Canis lupus familiaris: one gene and its partners. The protein of the gene in region 1 purifies or fractionates together with the protein of each later gene. This does not show direct contact. Links are inferred from orthologs where the notes say so. Each region holds a gene or a part of one and is shown in the gene's direction. Other genes may lie near its edges.

Region 1 (4,007 bases):
CCCTGCCAATCCCTTTCCCCACATAGCCCAGAGGATAAACTTTACAAGAGCAAGGTCCCATCACCATCCCTAGTCCGCTCCAAGCTGGAACTGAGCACAGAATTGTACCCAGCGGGTAATACAGTGGTTGGGGTGGTTTGGTGTTTGAAGCCAGGGCCCTTCATCCAGTGAAGCTGCCCGAGGTTGTGCTTCCTACCCTCACCAGCTGGGAGCTGGCATGCTTCCCCTTTAGCCAAGAACTAACTTGCTCTCTCCTCGCTGTCTTCATACCTGCTCGTCGGCTCTCCCCTTCCACTCCCTGCCTGCGCTGCCTCAGACTCACCAACCTTTCCAACTCTCAACCAAGGCATCATCCTGTTCCCCTCAGCTCCACTCACTGTCCTCCTGGTGTCTCAGACTCAGATCCCTCCTCTGCATCCCACAGCCATTGTCCTAGACCAGGTCACCCATCCCAGGTTGCCAGAGTGACTGTCCCAACATGCGTGTTGGGTCATGTTTCTGGGTTCTAATCTCACGCTGTTGCCCACAGAACAAGTGCATCTCCTTAGCCCTGATCCTGCTCATGGGTCCCCTCTTAAATTTGAAAATAATGAAAACCGGTTTCTTTTTAAGATTTTATTTATTTATTCATGAGACATCACACACACACAGAGAGAGGGGCAGAGACACAACACAGGCAGAGGGAGAAGCAGGTTCCATGCAGGGAGCCCGATGTGGGACTCGATCTGGGGTCTCCAGGATCACACCCCGGGCTGAAGGCAGGCGCTAAACCGCTGAGCCACCCGGGCATCCCTGGAAACTGGTTTCTAAACAGACTCTCCTGTTTCAAACCTCCATGCCTTTGCTCGTGCTGTTGCAAGCGTTCCCCATCCCCAAGTTCCTGCACGTCCCAGCTGAGATCTCCTTTCCGGCCTGCCCCTCTGCAGCGTGCAAACCTGTTTGGGTGACTGCTCTCGCTTAGACCTGGGTTCTTCCAAAGCAGGCCCACCTGTGGCTCCTGTCTGTGCCCGGGGTCAAGCCAAGGGCGGCCCGGCCTCCCTCCCGCTAGGCCAGGCCGCGGCCGGGTTACCCCCAGGTCGGCTGAGCATCTTCTCTCCTCCCCTCCTCCCTCCGGCTCGGGGCGTGTCTCCAGACCCCCCCTCCCCGGCCCTAGAACCGCCCCCCGGCTCTGTCTCACTTCCTCCGGGGAGGCGGGCCCTGAGTGGGGCCGTCCCTCCCACGGGCTCCGGCGACCGCGATCCGGTCCCTGCCTCTCGGTTTCGCTTCTCCTCCCCCCTCAGGCTCAAAACCCAGAAGCGAAACTGTGCTGGGATCCATGCAGCAGGAGCCCGCGCCCCCCCGCTCTCCGGCGCCCGGGCAGGACCCCGCACCGTCCGGGGCGCCCAGCATGCCTCCCCCGGAGCCCGCCTCCGAGGGCCACCAGCCCAGCCCCAGCCGCAGCCCCGCGGAGGTACCACTGGGCTTGGGGAGGTGGGGTGGAGGCTTGGTTGATGGCTTCGGGAAAGGGAGGGGACAGCGAGGCCAGGCACCTCCCCAGAGTGACCCAGAGAGAAAGCCAGACACTGGGCCCCGACCCTCGGGGCAGCTGAGAGTGGGAAAGGGTACCAGGGTGAGCTGGGGGGGCCTCGGGGCTGGCATGCCCCACGGACAGGGGGCAAGGTGCTGAGGGCCTGGACTCATCTGCCCACCCTGGCGACTTGCCCCCCTGAGCCTCAGATGAAGGTCCAGGGATTCGGGGGATGGCGGGGTAGCCCTGGGGAGCAGGCCGAGAGCCAGGGGCATGTCCCAAGTGTGGAAAACCAAAAGCCGAGTTCCCAGATCAGGAAGTGGGAACCTGGCCCAGACGAGAGAAGTGTCTTGGCTAAGGCCTCACAGCTCTTGGGGTGGCTTCTCCGCTAGGATACCTACCTCCAAGATCCTTCTGTTGGAACACCCTGTGTGCCCTCCACCCCCGCACCCCCACCCTGGGTCCACAAAGGGTGTACTGGGGCCTCTTCCGGAAGCTTGCCTGGGTCTGCTCCGGGTTTCCTGGGGCCTCTTCCCGGAAGCTTGCCTGGGTCTGCTCGGGACAAGCTCCCCAGCTGCCCTCCTGCCCCAGAGGAGCTACTTCACATCTCATGCAGTGTGTTTTCCCAGGCCCTTCATGAAAGCACCATCCTGCAGTAACTTCTATTCTGTGCATTATTACAACTAGGAATCGTACTACTTCCTTGTGAACATTCCTCGTGGGCCAGTACTTTATTAAGCACTTTTTCCCCCTTTTTTTTTCTAGAAAATATCCATAATATTAAAATTACCATGTTTTTAACATTTTTATTTCTTCTAAGTAATCTCTACGCCCAGCATGGGGCTTGAACTTAACAACCGCAGGATCCAGAGCCTCGTGCTGCGCTCACTGAGCCAGCCAGGTGCCCCAAAAACTTAACGGTTTTTAAGTGTACATTTCAGTGGCATTGAATATATTCACAATGTTGGGTAACCGTCAACCACCATCTATTTCCAGAATTTTTTTCATCACCCTCCACAGAAACTGTACTCCCTAAGCAGTAGCTCCTTATTTACCCGCTTCTCCCAGCTCCTGGTAACCTCCACTCTACTTTTCTGCTGCTGTGGATCTGCCGATGCTAGATATTTCATATAAGTGAGCCATCCAATTATTTGTCCCTTCGTGTTTGTCTTATTTTGCTTAGCCTAATGTTTTCAAGGTTCTCATAGCATGTATGAGAATTTACTTCCTTTTCATTTTATTTTATGTTATTTTTGGTAAAGATCTTATTTTTAAGTAACCTCTACACCCAGTGTGGGGCTTGAACTCACAAACCCAAGATCAAGAGTCACATTCTCCACCAACTGAGCCAGCCAGGCGCCCCTTCCTTCATTTTCTTTTTTAAAGATTTTATTTTATTTATATATTTTTTTAAAGATTTTTTTAAAGATTTTATTTATTTGAGAGAGGCAGAGACGCAGGCAGAGGGAGAAGCAGGCTCCTTGCAGGGAGCCCGATATGGGACTCGATCCAGGGACCCCAGGATCACGCCCTGGGCCAAAGGCAGATGCTCAACTGCTGAGCCACCCAGACGTCCCTCTTCCTTCATTTTTAAAAACTGAATGATACTCCATTGCACGCGTAGACCGGTTTTGTTTATCTGTTCATTTGTTGATGGACACTTGGGTTATTTCTACCTTTTGGAGCCTGTGCATGATGGTGCTGTGGACATGGGTGTAAAGTATCTGTTCAGCTACTTGTCTTCAGTTATTTTGGGAAATCTATCTAGGAATGAAATTGCTGGGTTATATAGTACTCCTGTGTTTAACTTCTTCAGGAGCCACCAAACCATATATATTTTTAAGATTTTATTTATTTATTCATGAGAGACACACACAGAGAGAGAGGCAGAGACATAGGCAGAGGGAGAAGCAGGCTCCATGCAGGGAGCCCAATGCGGGACTCGATCCCAGGACCCCAGGATCACGCCCTGAGCCCCCAGGTGCCCCTCCACCAAACCATATTAAGCACTGTTTATGATTTACATGAGATACGCTTCACGTATCTCCTTTCTAGAGCGAGTCCCTTGAAGGTAGGGATTTATGCTCCCATCCTTGGGTGTCCGGGCCTCGTAGTGCCGTGCTCCCTGCAGAGGATCTGGGGGGGGGCTCCGGGATTTCAGGCCTCACCCCACCTCTCTGGTCCCCCAGCAAGCCCTGGAGGAGGAGTTCCAGTTTCTGTGCTGCCAGAGCTGCCAGGCCGAAGCCAAGTGCCCCAAGCTGCTGCCGTGTCTGCACACGCTCTGCTCGGGATGCCTGGAGGCATCGGGCCTGCGCTGCTCCATCTGCCAGGTGCCCGGGCCTCTAGGCGCTGGCTCGCCGGCCCTGGACAACGTCTTCTTCGAGAGCCTGCAGCGGCGCCTGTCGGTTTACAGGCAGATCGTGGACGCGCAAGCTGTTTGCACCCGATGCAAAGAACCTGCGGACTTCTGGTGTTTTGAGTGCGAGCAGCTCCTCTGTGC
Region 2 (3,565 bases), on another chromosome or scaffold:
AGAGTTGCCAAGCAGCACATTGAAAGTGCCATTCCATTTTCACTAGAGAAAGGGATTGCAGTGAAGAGGTTCACTTTCAGTTTAATTTCATTTTGTCTCATACAGTTCTAATTTAGTACCTGCTAATAAAAACATTTATTTTTTAAGATTGTATTTATTTATTCATGGAGACACAGAAAGAGAGAGGCAGAGACACAGGCAGAGAGATAAGCAGGCTCCATGCAGGGAGCCTGATGTGGGACTCCATCCTGGTACTCCAGGATCACACCCTGAGCCCAAGGCAGACACACTTAACTGCTGAGCCATCCAGGAGTCCTGAGAATAGAATTTAGAAGTATGATGTCTTATTTTTTTCTAAGTGAAATATAAAGTGTCAGATTATCATATTGTGAATATGAAAACTGAAAAATAGAGTCTTCAACAGTACTGTTCTTTGCTTCTTTTCAAATGTAAGATTTAATGTTTTTATATATTGGGTAGCTTATAATTATAAGTAAATATAAGTACTTAAAGGTTTTTTTTTTTATTGAAATTCCAGGTTGTAGCTGCTTGTGCCATGCCAGTAATGAAAGGTTGGAATATCCTAACAAACTCAGAGAAATCTAAGAAAGCCAGGTACTTTAATGTTACTTAGCATAGTAACTTTTCCTATAGTGGAAAATTGCTCATTTCAGAATTTAGACCTCCTATAGATGAAAAATTCAGTAAAAAGCTCTGAAAAAGTTGGCAGGTTGGGCTCATAGGAGCATTGGAAATAAGTACACAGTAAGGAGGTTAAGCCAGGTGTTCATGCTTTTGAGCCTAGAATGGAATTAGCACTAACAGCTCTTATTTAGTAACTTTTTCAACTTGTGATGAATAATGAATCTGGGGCTTATTGAACTGAGATTATTTCAGTAACATATTACTATATTGTATAGGCACTGATTATATTTCTTTTTGCTGTGCATTTGCTTTTATTTTGAATTAATGTGAATGATTTCTGAAGACCATTCAGCAACTTTGGGTAATTTTGTATTGTTAACAGTCATAATTTTCTATGTTCTGTAATGATATTTTATTCCTAGACTTATATAAACATTTTTTTAGATTGTGTCTAATACTAGAATGATGGTTGCATTGGCATTTCTGATAATAAATGCAAGTTTAATACTATATGAAAGGATGATACAATATCATTTTACATATTAAAATTTTCCATACAGAGAAGGTGTGATGGAGTTCTTATTAGCAAATCACCCACTGGACTGTCCTATTTGTGACCAGGGAGGTGAATGTGATCTGCAGGTATGTCGTCTAACTTCATAAATCTTTTTTGGTTGTCTCCGGTTTTGATTTCACTAGCAGCATTAGATTAATTCTCTCAATCTACTTAAGGACCAATCCATGATGTTTGGAAGTGATAGGAGCCGATTTTTAGAGGGAAAACGTGCTGTGGAGGACAAAAACATTGGACCATTGGTAAAGACCATTATGACTAGATGTATACAGTGTACTCGCTGCATCAGGTAATGATTTTCCTTCTGTCTTCTGGAATATCATTCACATACTTAATATTCACAAATTTGATGGAATAACAACAATAGAAAAAATGGCAACATTTTTTGGTGGGAGAAGAGGCATGTTTTTAATGTTTCCTGCATAAGTAAATAAAATGAATTGATCGCTTTCAATAAATATCAATTTGCATTGAATTTACAAATCAAAAGCTGTAAGCATTCACTCTGATAACTTGTTGAGCTATATACGTGATTTGTGCAATTTTCTGTGTGTTACACTGCAATTAACTAACATACAAACATTTATTGAACTCTCTTTTATTCAAGGACTGTTTACCTTTGAAAATATAGTTGTGTGTTTTTAGTGTTTTGAAAATCATTATCTCTTTGTGATCATAGATAGGAAAGGAGGTAATTTTGCTGGATTTGACCATTTGACAGTACATTTTTACCTTGCAGGTTTGCAAGTGAGATTGCAGGAGTAGATGATTTGGGAACAACAGGCAGAGGAAATGATATGCAGGTTGGCACGTACATTGAAAAGATGTTCATGTCTGAACTGTCTGGCAATATCATTGACATCTGCCCTGTAGGTGCCCTGACCTCTAAGCCCTATGCTTTTACTGCCCGCCCTTGGGAAACAAGGTATTCATTGTTGATTTTTTGATAATTTGTTTTTTGTCCTTTAATTGACCATTGTTCAAAAAAATTTAAGATTCATGTCCTTCCTATATTCTGATTGTTTTGGTCTGCTAAGTTTTTATGTATTTAAGTACAATCCTCTTACTGGAAGGTAAGTAGATAGATTAAAGGACAGGGTGAACCTGTGTAAATCAATTATAGTTTTCTTGGAAATTAATTCCCAAGTACTTAACCACACAATTATTTTATTCACTTGATCTTTCAAAGAGTAAAATGAGCTTGATTTTTAAAAGATAGTCTCCTCATTGTATGTTTTCAACCATGTGCAGATATATTTTAGTCAGTTCCTATTATCAGACATTTAGTTTGTTTCTGTATAGTTGTAAATCTGTGGTAAAAATTGTTATCGTGGTGCCAGGTAGCTCAGTCAGTTTAGCATCCAACTCTTAGGTTTGGCTCAAGGTTTGTGAGACCAAGCCCCACATCCGGCTCTGTGCTCAGCACAGAGTGCTTCAAATTTTCTCCCTCTCCTAGCTTTCTCTCTCTCTGTCTCACTCTCCCCTCCCCCCACCCCATCTCAAATAAATGAATAAAATCTTTAAAAAAAATTGTTAAAAATTTTCTTACATATCTCTGCTTTATTTTATTTTTTTTATTTGACAGAGAGTGAGCGCACAAGCAGGGAGAGTGGCAGGCAGAGGGAGAGGGAGAAGCAGGCTCCCTGCAAAACAAGGAGCTCAATAAGGGGCTCCATCCCTGGACCCTGATCCTAGGAGCCTGGGATGATGACCTGAGCCAAAGGCAGACGCTTAACTGACTGAGCCACCCAGGAGTCCCTATATCTCTGATTCTTCTTACTAAACTGAGAAGTGGAGTAGGTAGTTGCAATGAGTTTGAATATTTTTAAGGTCCTAGAAATATATCATTAAATTACCCTCCTGTTTTTAAACTTCCACTGGAGTATATGAGAATATCTTAGAATTCTAGGTTTTTAACCACGTATTTATGTATATTAAAGGATTATGGGGATGGGGCACAGTATGTACCTGAGATTTTTTTTTTTAAGATTTTATTTATTTATTCATGAGAATACACAGAGAGGAGAGAGAGAGAGAGGCAGAGACACAGGCAGAGGGAGAAGCAGGCTCCATGCAGGGAGCCCGACGTGGGACTCCATCCAGGGTCTCCAGGATCAGGCCCTGGCCTGAAGGTGGCGCTCAACTGCTGAGCCACCTGAGCTACCCGTAGCTGAGATGTTTAAGTAGAGATTTTTCTCTTTTTCTTTTAAGACCCCCATAATGCAAGCAGAAAAGAACTTCCATCTCTATAGCTTACCCTAGCCTGATAGAACCTGTTCAAGGTGGGAGGGAAGGGGATGAGAACAGGCCCCAAGCCACACTACCACTGATTTCCACCCTTCTTAC
Region 3 (4,333 bases), on another chromosome or scaffold:
TTTTCTCATTAAGATTATTATTAGGACATAACCTAAGGTGAGATTGCCTTATAACTTTTATATACAGAAAAGTATACTAGCTTTACGCTAAAATCTGCTTTGCAATAGAATGTTATAGCATCTAGTGTATTAGGCTCTATTTTTCCTCAGTGGAGGGAAATTACATAAATCCATTAATGAAATTTAGGAAAATTTTACCCAGACCAGGGACAATAAAGAACAATGCACCATCTTTTTTTTTTTTTTCCTCCCTTTTCTGATGCACTCATGTTTTGAAAGGGATATATTTACACAGAGATTGAGAGAGAAAGAACAAAAACAGATGGGAACAATCTTGAATTTAAGAAAGACTGAGAGGGTGTTTTGGAACCAACAATAACTGGAACTAACATTGAGAAGCTACTTCTCTGGGCTAGTTCTTCACATAAATTACCTCCCATTTTCACAACAACCAGCACGGCAGGCACGAGAAACCCCAGGTTCAGAAATAGGAGGTAACCTGCCCAGGGTCACCGGCTAACCCGCGCCGCCAGGTCCCTGCTTGCCCATCCGCCACAGCGCTCCAGGACAAAAGTGTCCTGTTACTGGAGAGTTTGGGCCCAGGCGATCTGGAGGATTTCCTTCCCTTCCGACGGTCTTTTGGTTTCTCCTGCTTTCGGTTCTGGCGTGTGCATCCCGAGGCTGAGGGGGGCCGCACGGGATCCCCGCAAACAGAAGGGTTCCGCAGGCCGCGCGACGCGCCCACTTCCTTCCCTCAGGGCCCGACCCGGGGTCTGACTGCGGTCGGGGCGGAAGAGTGGGGGTGGGGTGGGGTGGGGTGGGGGGTAACGTAGACGACGGGGGGGGGGTGGTTCTTACCTTTAAGTTGTTTATGAATTTCAGGACAACCCGTTGGCTATTCTCTTGCTCGGCATATTATGTTTTTTTCTAATTTGGGGTCGGTTTGGGATTAAGGACCTGGTACCCGTCGGAAATTTCTGTACCGCTCTGCACAGCAGATCCAGAAGTTAAGGTCAAAGACCATTCAGGTGCTATGGGCGCGGGTTTTGCACGGGCGCGTGGACGCAAGGTTGGCGCTGGGTCCGCATCCTACACGCACACCCACGGAAGGGCTCAGGGGGCCGTCGCCCCCCGAGCGACGGAAGCCCGCAGCGCCCCTCAGGCCCGCTCTGACGAGAACGCGCGGTGACGGCCGCCCGCGCACCTTCGGGGGAGAAGGGGAGGGCCGGGCGCTCGCGGCCCGGGGCGGGGGCCGGGCTTCCGAGGGCAGCGCCGCGCCCGGAGCCCCCGCCCTCCCCGCCGCTCGCGCCGGGCGGCCGCCGCAGTCCCCGCGCCGTAGCCGGCCGTGGGGCCCAGGGGGCGCTGTGGGCCAGCGGCGCCGGCGGCGGGAGCGGCCACGGCGACGCTGGAGGCTCCGCCGCCGCCCCCCGCCCGCCGCCCGCCGCCCCGCGCCCGGCCCGGCTCAGCGGCGCCCCTCCGGGACCCGCGTGCTGCGGCGGCCCGTGAGCCCCATGCGGCTCGGCGGGCGCTGGGCCTCAGCAGCAGCGGCGGCCGCAAGCCCTTCAGGAGCGGCAGGCGTCGCGGCGGCGCCCTCCGGAGGAGGCTGTCGGCCCAGGCGCGGCCCCCCGGCCATGCTGAGGCGGCGGCCGCGGCTCGAGGTGAGTCTGGCGCGGCGCGGGGGACCCCCGGCCTCCCGCCGCATGAGGGGCTCGGCGGCCGCCTCCGCCAGCCCGCGGCTCGGGCCTCGAGCCTTCCCTCCGCGTCCCCGCGAGGCGCGAGGCCGGGGCGACTAGGCCCCGCGCCGCCGGGAAGCCCTCGGCCTGGCCTGGGTCCCGGCGGCCGCGGCGGGCGCGCCCCGACCCCCGCGGGCGGCCCGGGCCCGCGCACCCTGGAGGCCGCCGCTCGGCCCCGCGGTGGGGGCGGGGGACTGCCGAGAAGGGGGCGCGGAAGCCCGCGGCCCTCGCGGCCGCTGCCAGGGTCGCCCACCGCGCACCGGGCGGGAACAGCCGCTTGCGTCGTATTCGAGCTGAGATTTCCTCACCTGCCGCGAGCTCGCCCCTGCGGCTTCCTGTGACATTTACCTCCGAGACGGGGCTGTTGGAGAAAGCCCCTCCTAGCTTGGCTCCAAGTTTCCTACATAAATACTCACAATGATAAAAATATCCTTTTTTTTTTTTTTTTAAACAATGGTCTGTTCCCTCTTCTCCCTAATAAGAGTGTAAATATTTTAATGCCTCAGTTCTCAATACAAAGAAGTTCCACCTATTAAATAGATCCACAGAGTGGATGACAAGGGGATTTTAAAAAGTCAGGCTAACTACACTAATGACATACCTGGTCGAAATGGGACAGTCTAAATTTTAGAGGTTAAGTGATCTGGTATTAATGTGAAAAATAATGATTACAGATTGAAACCTTAAAGCCAGGTGTTTTGGTGTTTATGGTTTATGATAAATGTGGTTACAGGTTATTCTTGTTTTCCTATTACGTATGTGAAGGTTACAGGATTAATAAGTACTTCTAGAACTTTGATAATTGTGAATAAAATCTGCTTATTGTAGAAAATTCGAAGAATACAGAAACCTACTGTGTCAACTCTCAATAAATATTTAATAGTGCGGAAAAAGTCACCCATAATCTTATAGTTAGTACATTTTGATGGTCACTTAAAGTTTTAAATGGGCTTGTACTGTTGATGATTTAAAAGTTATTGGCTTATGATTACTTTATTAATTATTCAAATTGCGTTTAATTATTATTTCTGTCAGGTTCAGAGTTAACTGGTTCCCTTTTACTATTTAACATCCAGTCGTTTTTGTAGGACTTACAAAAATGTTTTACTAAATTACGTTGCAGTCATAGTTGAACTCATCAACTATGTGAAGAGAGAGGCAGAGACACAGGCAGAGAGAGAAACAGGCTCCATGCAGGGCCTGAGGTCGGTCTGCAGGCTCCTGAGGTCTAGAGAAGTTTGGTGTAGTAAACATTTTTGAGGACCTTTCCTGTTAGATGTGGTAGGCTTGGATTGTTTTTGTAAGATTTTGCTTAAATACTTAAAACTGTAAAAAAAAATTGGCTTGATTAAAATAATTGGGGGGAGTAGATTAAGTTTCGGAAGTCTAGTTCAATTCTCAAAGTGTCTCTAAAGACTACAACCATTAGAATCAGCTGAGAGTGCTTATTAAGATATGCAGATTCCTGGTCCCTTGAATCAGGATTTCTAGAGATCATGGTGGCCCAAGGATCTTTATTTTTACCAAGCTCCCCAATTCGTAGTCCTCTTAAAGTTTGAGAATCACTGATATACGAAGTTAAAAGTTAACTAACCTGGTCAAGCCTAAATGACAGTATCTGTTTTCTAGCAAAGCTATCAATCTTAAGTGGCAGTACAATCATTTATCATAGCAACAGATAATGGTGTTACAATCTTAGAAAGAAAAATGATATTTCAAGGGATAGCTGATTCAATTAACATATATCAGCCTTTTCTGGTGGCTGTGGTGTTATAGGATACCTGGCCACTTATCTTGTCACTTAATCTCTTCTTGGACTTTGAAGTCATTGTCTATAAAATGTAGATAGATACTACACTTACCTTGCAAGGCTTTTAGGGTTAATTCATCTGAAAAAGTTTTCTAATTTGTGGAAGATCTTTATAAAAGTTTAGCTATTAGTATTAAGTGTTAGGTCCTGTGTTTGGTGTTCTAGGAGCACAAAAATGACCATGGTCTCTCTGCTAGCAACTAGCCAACTGTGGAGACAGAACTCTTACGAGGCAGACAAGAGTTGAGCAGAACATGCTGGATCTCTCTTTAAGGCTTCGAATATTTGGAGCACCTGCGTGGCTCAGAGGTTGGGCCTCTGCTTTTGGCTCAGGTCGTGATCCTGGGGTCTTAGGATCAAGTCTCACATCAGGCTTCCTGCATGGAGCCTGCTTCTCCCTCTGCCTATGTCTCTGCCTCTTTCTCTCTCTCTGTGTGTCTCTCATGAATAAATAAAATCTTAAAAAAAAGAAAGCTTCAAATATTTAATCAACAGCTTGCCCTTTAAGAATTAGTAATTTTTATATGTGATCATTCCCTTCTATTCCATTCCCTTCTATTCTATAATTGTTTTATTCTGTAAGGAGAAAGTTGTATATGTTGCCTGGTAAGTAATAGTTGTATATTAACTCCCTTAGAAAGGCAGAATGAATGAAGATGGTCCCATTTCTTCTTCTGTTGCTAAGCTACCAGTGTGCATCCCATTCAGTAAACTTTTATTTGGCACCTGTTATATATGTTGGCCACAGACAAGTTGCAAGGCACAAATCTCGTTTAAAAGATAATTGCCT
Region 4 (3,565 bases), on another chromosome or scaffold:
AGAGCCAAGAGCCTAATAGTTTTTGGCTAGTTATTGTTAAAGTTCTGAATGTACATAAAAAGTACTTTCCCTTTGTTGCTTGACTTAATATAGTTGAAGATTATTTCAGAATCACTTCCCTCTTTTTTTAATTTTATTATTATGTATGCTGCTCTATGTTAGGAACAAAAAATATAAATTGCTATTCCAAACATGAGGATTTCACTTTTGTGATTGTTTTCTATAATGTGCCCTAAATTTGCATTTTAAAAATGTCTAGGGACCCTACTTAAAAAAATATTTATAGGGGTGCCTCATTGGTTAAGTGTACAACTCGTGATTTTAGCTCAGGTCTTGATCTCAGGCTGGTGGGTTTAGGCCCCAACTTGGGCTCCCTGCTAGTTGTGGAGCCTACTTAAAAAACAACAATAAAACTTAAAAAAAATATTTGTAGTCTCATTAAACAGATCAAATTGTGATACTGCATTTTAACCAATTAATGCTACAATAATAACGTTGAGAATTTCCAGATAGCTTAGAAAATAGTTTAATTCCAGTCCTCTGACTAACCTAAAAGCAGAGGAAGCTCTGACGTTGTTACTTCATTGATTGCCAGGCACTTGGTTTGCATCCTATTTGAAAGGCATTAGTTAGGAATTTTTGTTCTGCTATTTTGAAATTATGATGGCCAATCTTCCTTCTGATTAGTAGTACTAATATTAGATCAGATGATGATATGCTAGTCTGATTTTTTTTTAAAGATTTTATTTATGTATTCATGAGAGACACACAGAGAGAGTCCGAGACATAGGCAGAAGGAGGAGCAAGCTCCCCACAGGGAGCTTGATGTGAGACTCTATCCCAGGACCCTGGGATCATACCTGGAGCCAAAGGCAGACGCTCAACCACTGAGCCACCCAGGTGCCCTGCTGGTCTGATTTTTGATTAGTATATGTATATATCTTTTCATCCTTTAATTTTTCATTTATCTGTGTCCTCATGTTTAAAATAGATGTCTTGAGGCATCTCCCTGCCTCAGTTGAAAGAGTATGCAACTCTTGATCTTGGGGTTATGCGTTTGAGTACCATGTTGGGTGTAGAGATTACTTTAAAAAAAAAAAAAAAAGGTGTCTTGTAAGTAGCATATTGTTAGGCTTCGCCTTTTTTTTTTTTTTTAAATCCAGTTGACCAATCTTGTTTTGCTGTGTTTAGACCAACAAGTTTTTTCCCTTTTTAAATAAAGGACCAGAGAGTAAACATTTTATTTGGTCTTTGTGGTCCCACTGGTCTGTGTCATGTACCCATTCAATTTTGCCATTGTAGTATGAAAGCAGACTTGGGCAGTATGCAAATATCAATCTTGTCTGTATTTCAAGAAACCTTTATTGACAGAAATAGGCAGTGGGCCAGATTTGGCTCAAGGACTCTAGTTTGCCACCTGGTTTACCTTTTATACTCAGTGTAATCACATTTTCATTGGATGAAAATCTGTCCTCCTGGTTGTTTTGTATTTGTTCTATCTGTTCTTTGTGGGGTATTTTGTTTTGTTTTTCTTTCTCTGCTCTCCTTTGAATTAGTTATTTTTCTATGATTGTATTTTATCTCCACTACTGGTTTATTTATGCCTTTTTGTAGTGATTGCCCTAGAATTTAATATGCATCTCCAGTTATTTACCCTCCAAATTATTTTATCTCTTTATGTATAATGTATGAACCTTAAAATAGTGTAAGTTTTCCAACTCTTGCCTCCTGTTCTCTGTGCTATTGTCATACATTTTACTTTTACATTATTTTATTTTTAGATTACATTGGAGAGAGACTTTGCAAACTTTAGTGTTTAAATTACTCTTTAACAACCCTCGCTGTTAAGGTTTGTCATAGTAAGTTGTTAGAGTCATTAATTTGTGTGACTCACAGGAGTTAAACAAAGAGAGGCAGTAAGTAAAAAAGCCTTAGCCTGACAAAGATTGCTAGAAGAGATCCTCAGACAGCTACAGAGTAACATTTTATCCCATCTGTACCATTCACAATTTTTCTTTTAATTACTCTTACTGGAAAGTCTAATTTTGTTTTTTCTCCATGTGCTATATAATGAGCATTAGAGCCAGATATTCTGCTTTTATCTGACAGACTGAAGATTTCTCCAGTTCTTACATTCTGGATTCTTAGATGTGTATTTCAGCTTTGAGTTTTTTAGGCAACAGAGTAATTGGTAACTTTATAATTTTTACATATATAGATAAAGCCAGTAGTCTCTCATGTTGCATTACTGTGCCTCTTTTTCATAGACATAAGATTTCTTTCTTTCTTAAGACATAGAGAATATAAGTAATGTATTCACTACTTAAAATTAGTTGGTTTTTCCTTCAAGAAACTTTTTTTTTTTTGTAGTACTTGTGTGGTAGTAATCGAAAAGACAACATATTTATTGATCCAGGATACCAAACATTTGAGCAAGAATTGAATAAAATACTCCGAAGTTGGCAACCCAGCATACTTCCAGATGGTAATACTCTTTTTATTTTTTTAAAAAGATTTGGTAATTTATTTTAGAGAGCACACATGCATGCGAGTTGGAGGAGGGGTCAAAGGGAGAGGGTAAGGGAAAGAGAATCTCCAGTAGATTCTCTGCTGAGTGTGGAGCCCCATGCAGTACTCCGTTTTATGACCCTGAGATCATGACATGAGCTGAAGTCAAGAGTCGAATGCTTAACCAACTGAGCCACCCAGGTGTCCCTGTAATGCCTTTTAAATAAGGAATTCCATTGCTAACTTGCTGCTGGGATTTTTATTTTTACAGGAAGCATATTAGAAATAATTAGGGAATAATTTAAATTAGATGGCATATTTTTCAGTATACCTATTGATGAACTTACTGTTCATCTTTTGTTGAGTTAGAAATGAATGTAGTTGATAACTACTGTTTATGAAGAATTTTGTAATAAATGTGACCCTCTTTCTCTGGAGTAAGACACTGGATGTTTATTTCATAAGGCCTCTAGGGGATAATATTGTAATGTAAATTTCTCTAAGAAATCTGTTTTAGGTGTGTGAAGAAAATATGTTTGTGAATGGAAATCAGCGATCTTTTTTCAGGAATTCTACAGGTTTAAATTCCTTTCTGACCTTCTGTGCTTGTCCTACAGAAGAACAGAAGCAAACATCTAGCCCCTTACTCCAGAGATGCTAGTTCCATAGTCTAGTGTGTCTCTCCTAGCCTCTTTTTTTAAAGAGCTGCATAGGGAATTCTGAAATTCATTCCAGTTTTGACCTGGTGTGAATGGAGGATTGGAATAAGTTTGTTCTTGAATTAACTTTATTTTTTAGATGATTAAATTAAAATTGTTTTATTTATTGTAATTCTTTAAAAATGTTTCTCTTTATTTAAGGGTCAATTTTTTCTCGAGTTGAAGAAGATTATCTCTGGAGGATAAAACAGCTAGGGTCACACTCTCCTGTAGCTCTTCTGAATACCCTGTTCTACTTTAACACTAAGTATTTTGGCCTGAAAACAGTGGAACAACACTTAAGACTTTCCTTTGGCACTGTATTTAGGCACTGGAAAAAAAATCCTTTAACAATGGAA

The links.
Region 2: the proteins of PML (region 1) and NDUFS1 purify together in Homo sapiens (affinity purification with mass spectrometry; 3 studies listed by BioGRID and IntAct, counting the BioPlex papers as one, with this or other methods). This does not show direct contact. The link is inferred for Canis lupus familiaris from reciprocal best matches to the Homo sapiens genes PML and NDUFS1.
Region 3: the proteins of PML (region 1) and ZFYVE9 purify together in Homo sapiens (affinity purification with western blotting; 3 studies listed by BioGRID and IntAct, with this or other methods). This does not show direct contact. The link is inferred for Canis lupus familiaris from reciprocal best matches to the Homo sapiens genes PML and ZFYVE9.
Region 4: the proteins of PML (region 1) and ZMYM2 purify together in Homo sapiens (affinity purification with western blotting; 3 studies listed by BioGRID, with this or other methods). This does not show direct contact. The link is inferred for Canis lupus familiaris from reciprocal best matches to the Homo sapiens genes PML and ZMYM2.

The regions. Positions count from the first base shown.
Region 1 is NC_049251.1:37,672,267-37,676,273, forward strand, and holds the start of PML (protein PML), read left to right. Parts: upstream 1-1,195; 5' UTR 1,196-1,315; coding exon 1,316-1,450; intron 1,451-3,696; coding exon 3,697-4,007.
Region 2 is NC_049258.1:14,561,972-14,565,536, reverse strand, and holds part of NDUFS1 (NADH-ubiquinone oxidoreductase 75 kDa subunit, mitochondrial), read left to right. Parts: intron 1-538; coding exon 539-615; intron 616-1,205; coding exon 1,206-1,287; intron 1,288-1,377; coding exon 1,378-1,508; intron 1,509-1,958; coding exon 1,959-2,144; intron 2,145-3,565.
Region 3 is NC_049236.1:9,238,301-9,242,633, reverse strand, and holds the start of ZFYVE9 (zinc finger FYVE domain-containing protein 9), read left to right. Parts: upstream 1-1,524; 5' UTR 1,525-1,658; intron 1,659-4,333. UniProt on the Homo sapiens protein: Early endosomal protein that functions to recruit SMAD2/SMAD3 to intracellular membranes and to the TGF-beta receptor.
Region 4 is NC_049246.1:18,126,835-18,130,399, reverse strand, and holds part of ZMYM2 (zinc finger MYM-type protein 2), read left to right. Parts: intron 1-2,370; coding exon 2,371-2,485; intron 2,486-3,368; coding exon 3,369-3,565. UniProt on the Homo sapiens protein: Involved in the negative regulation of transcription.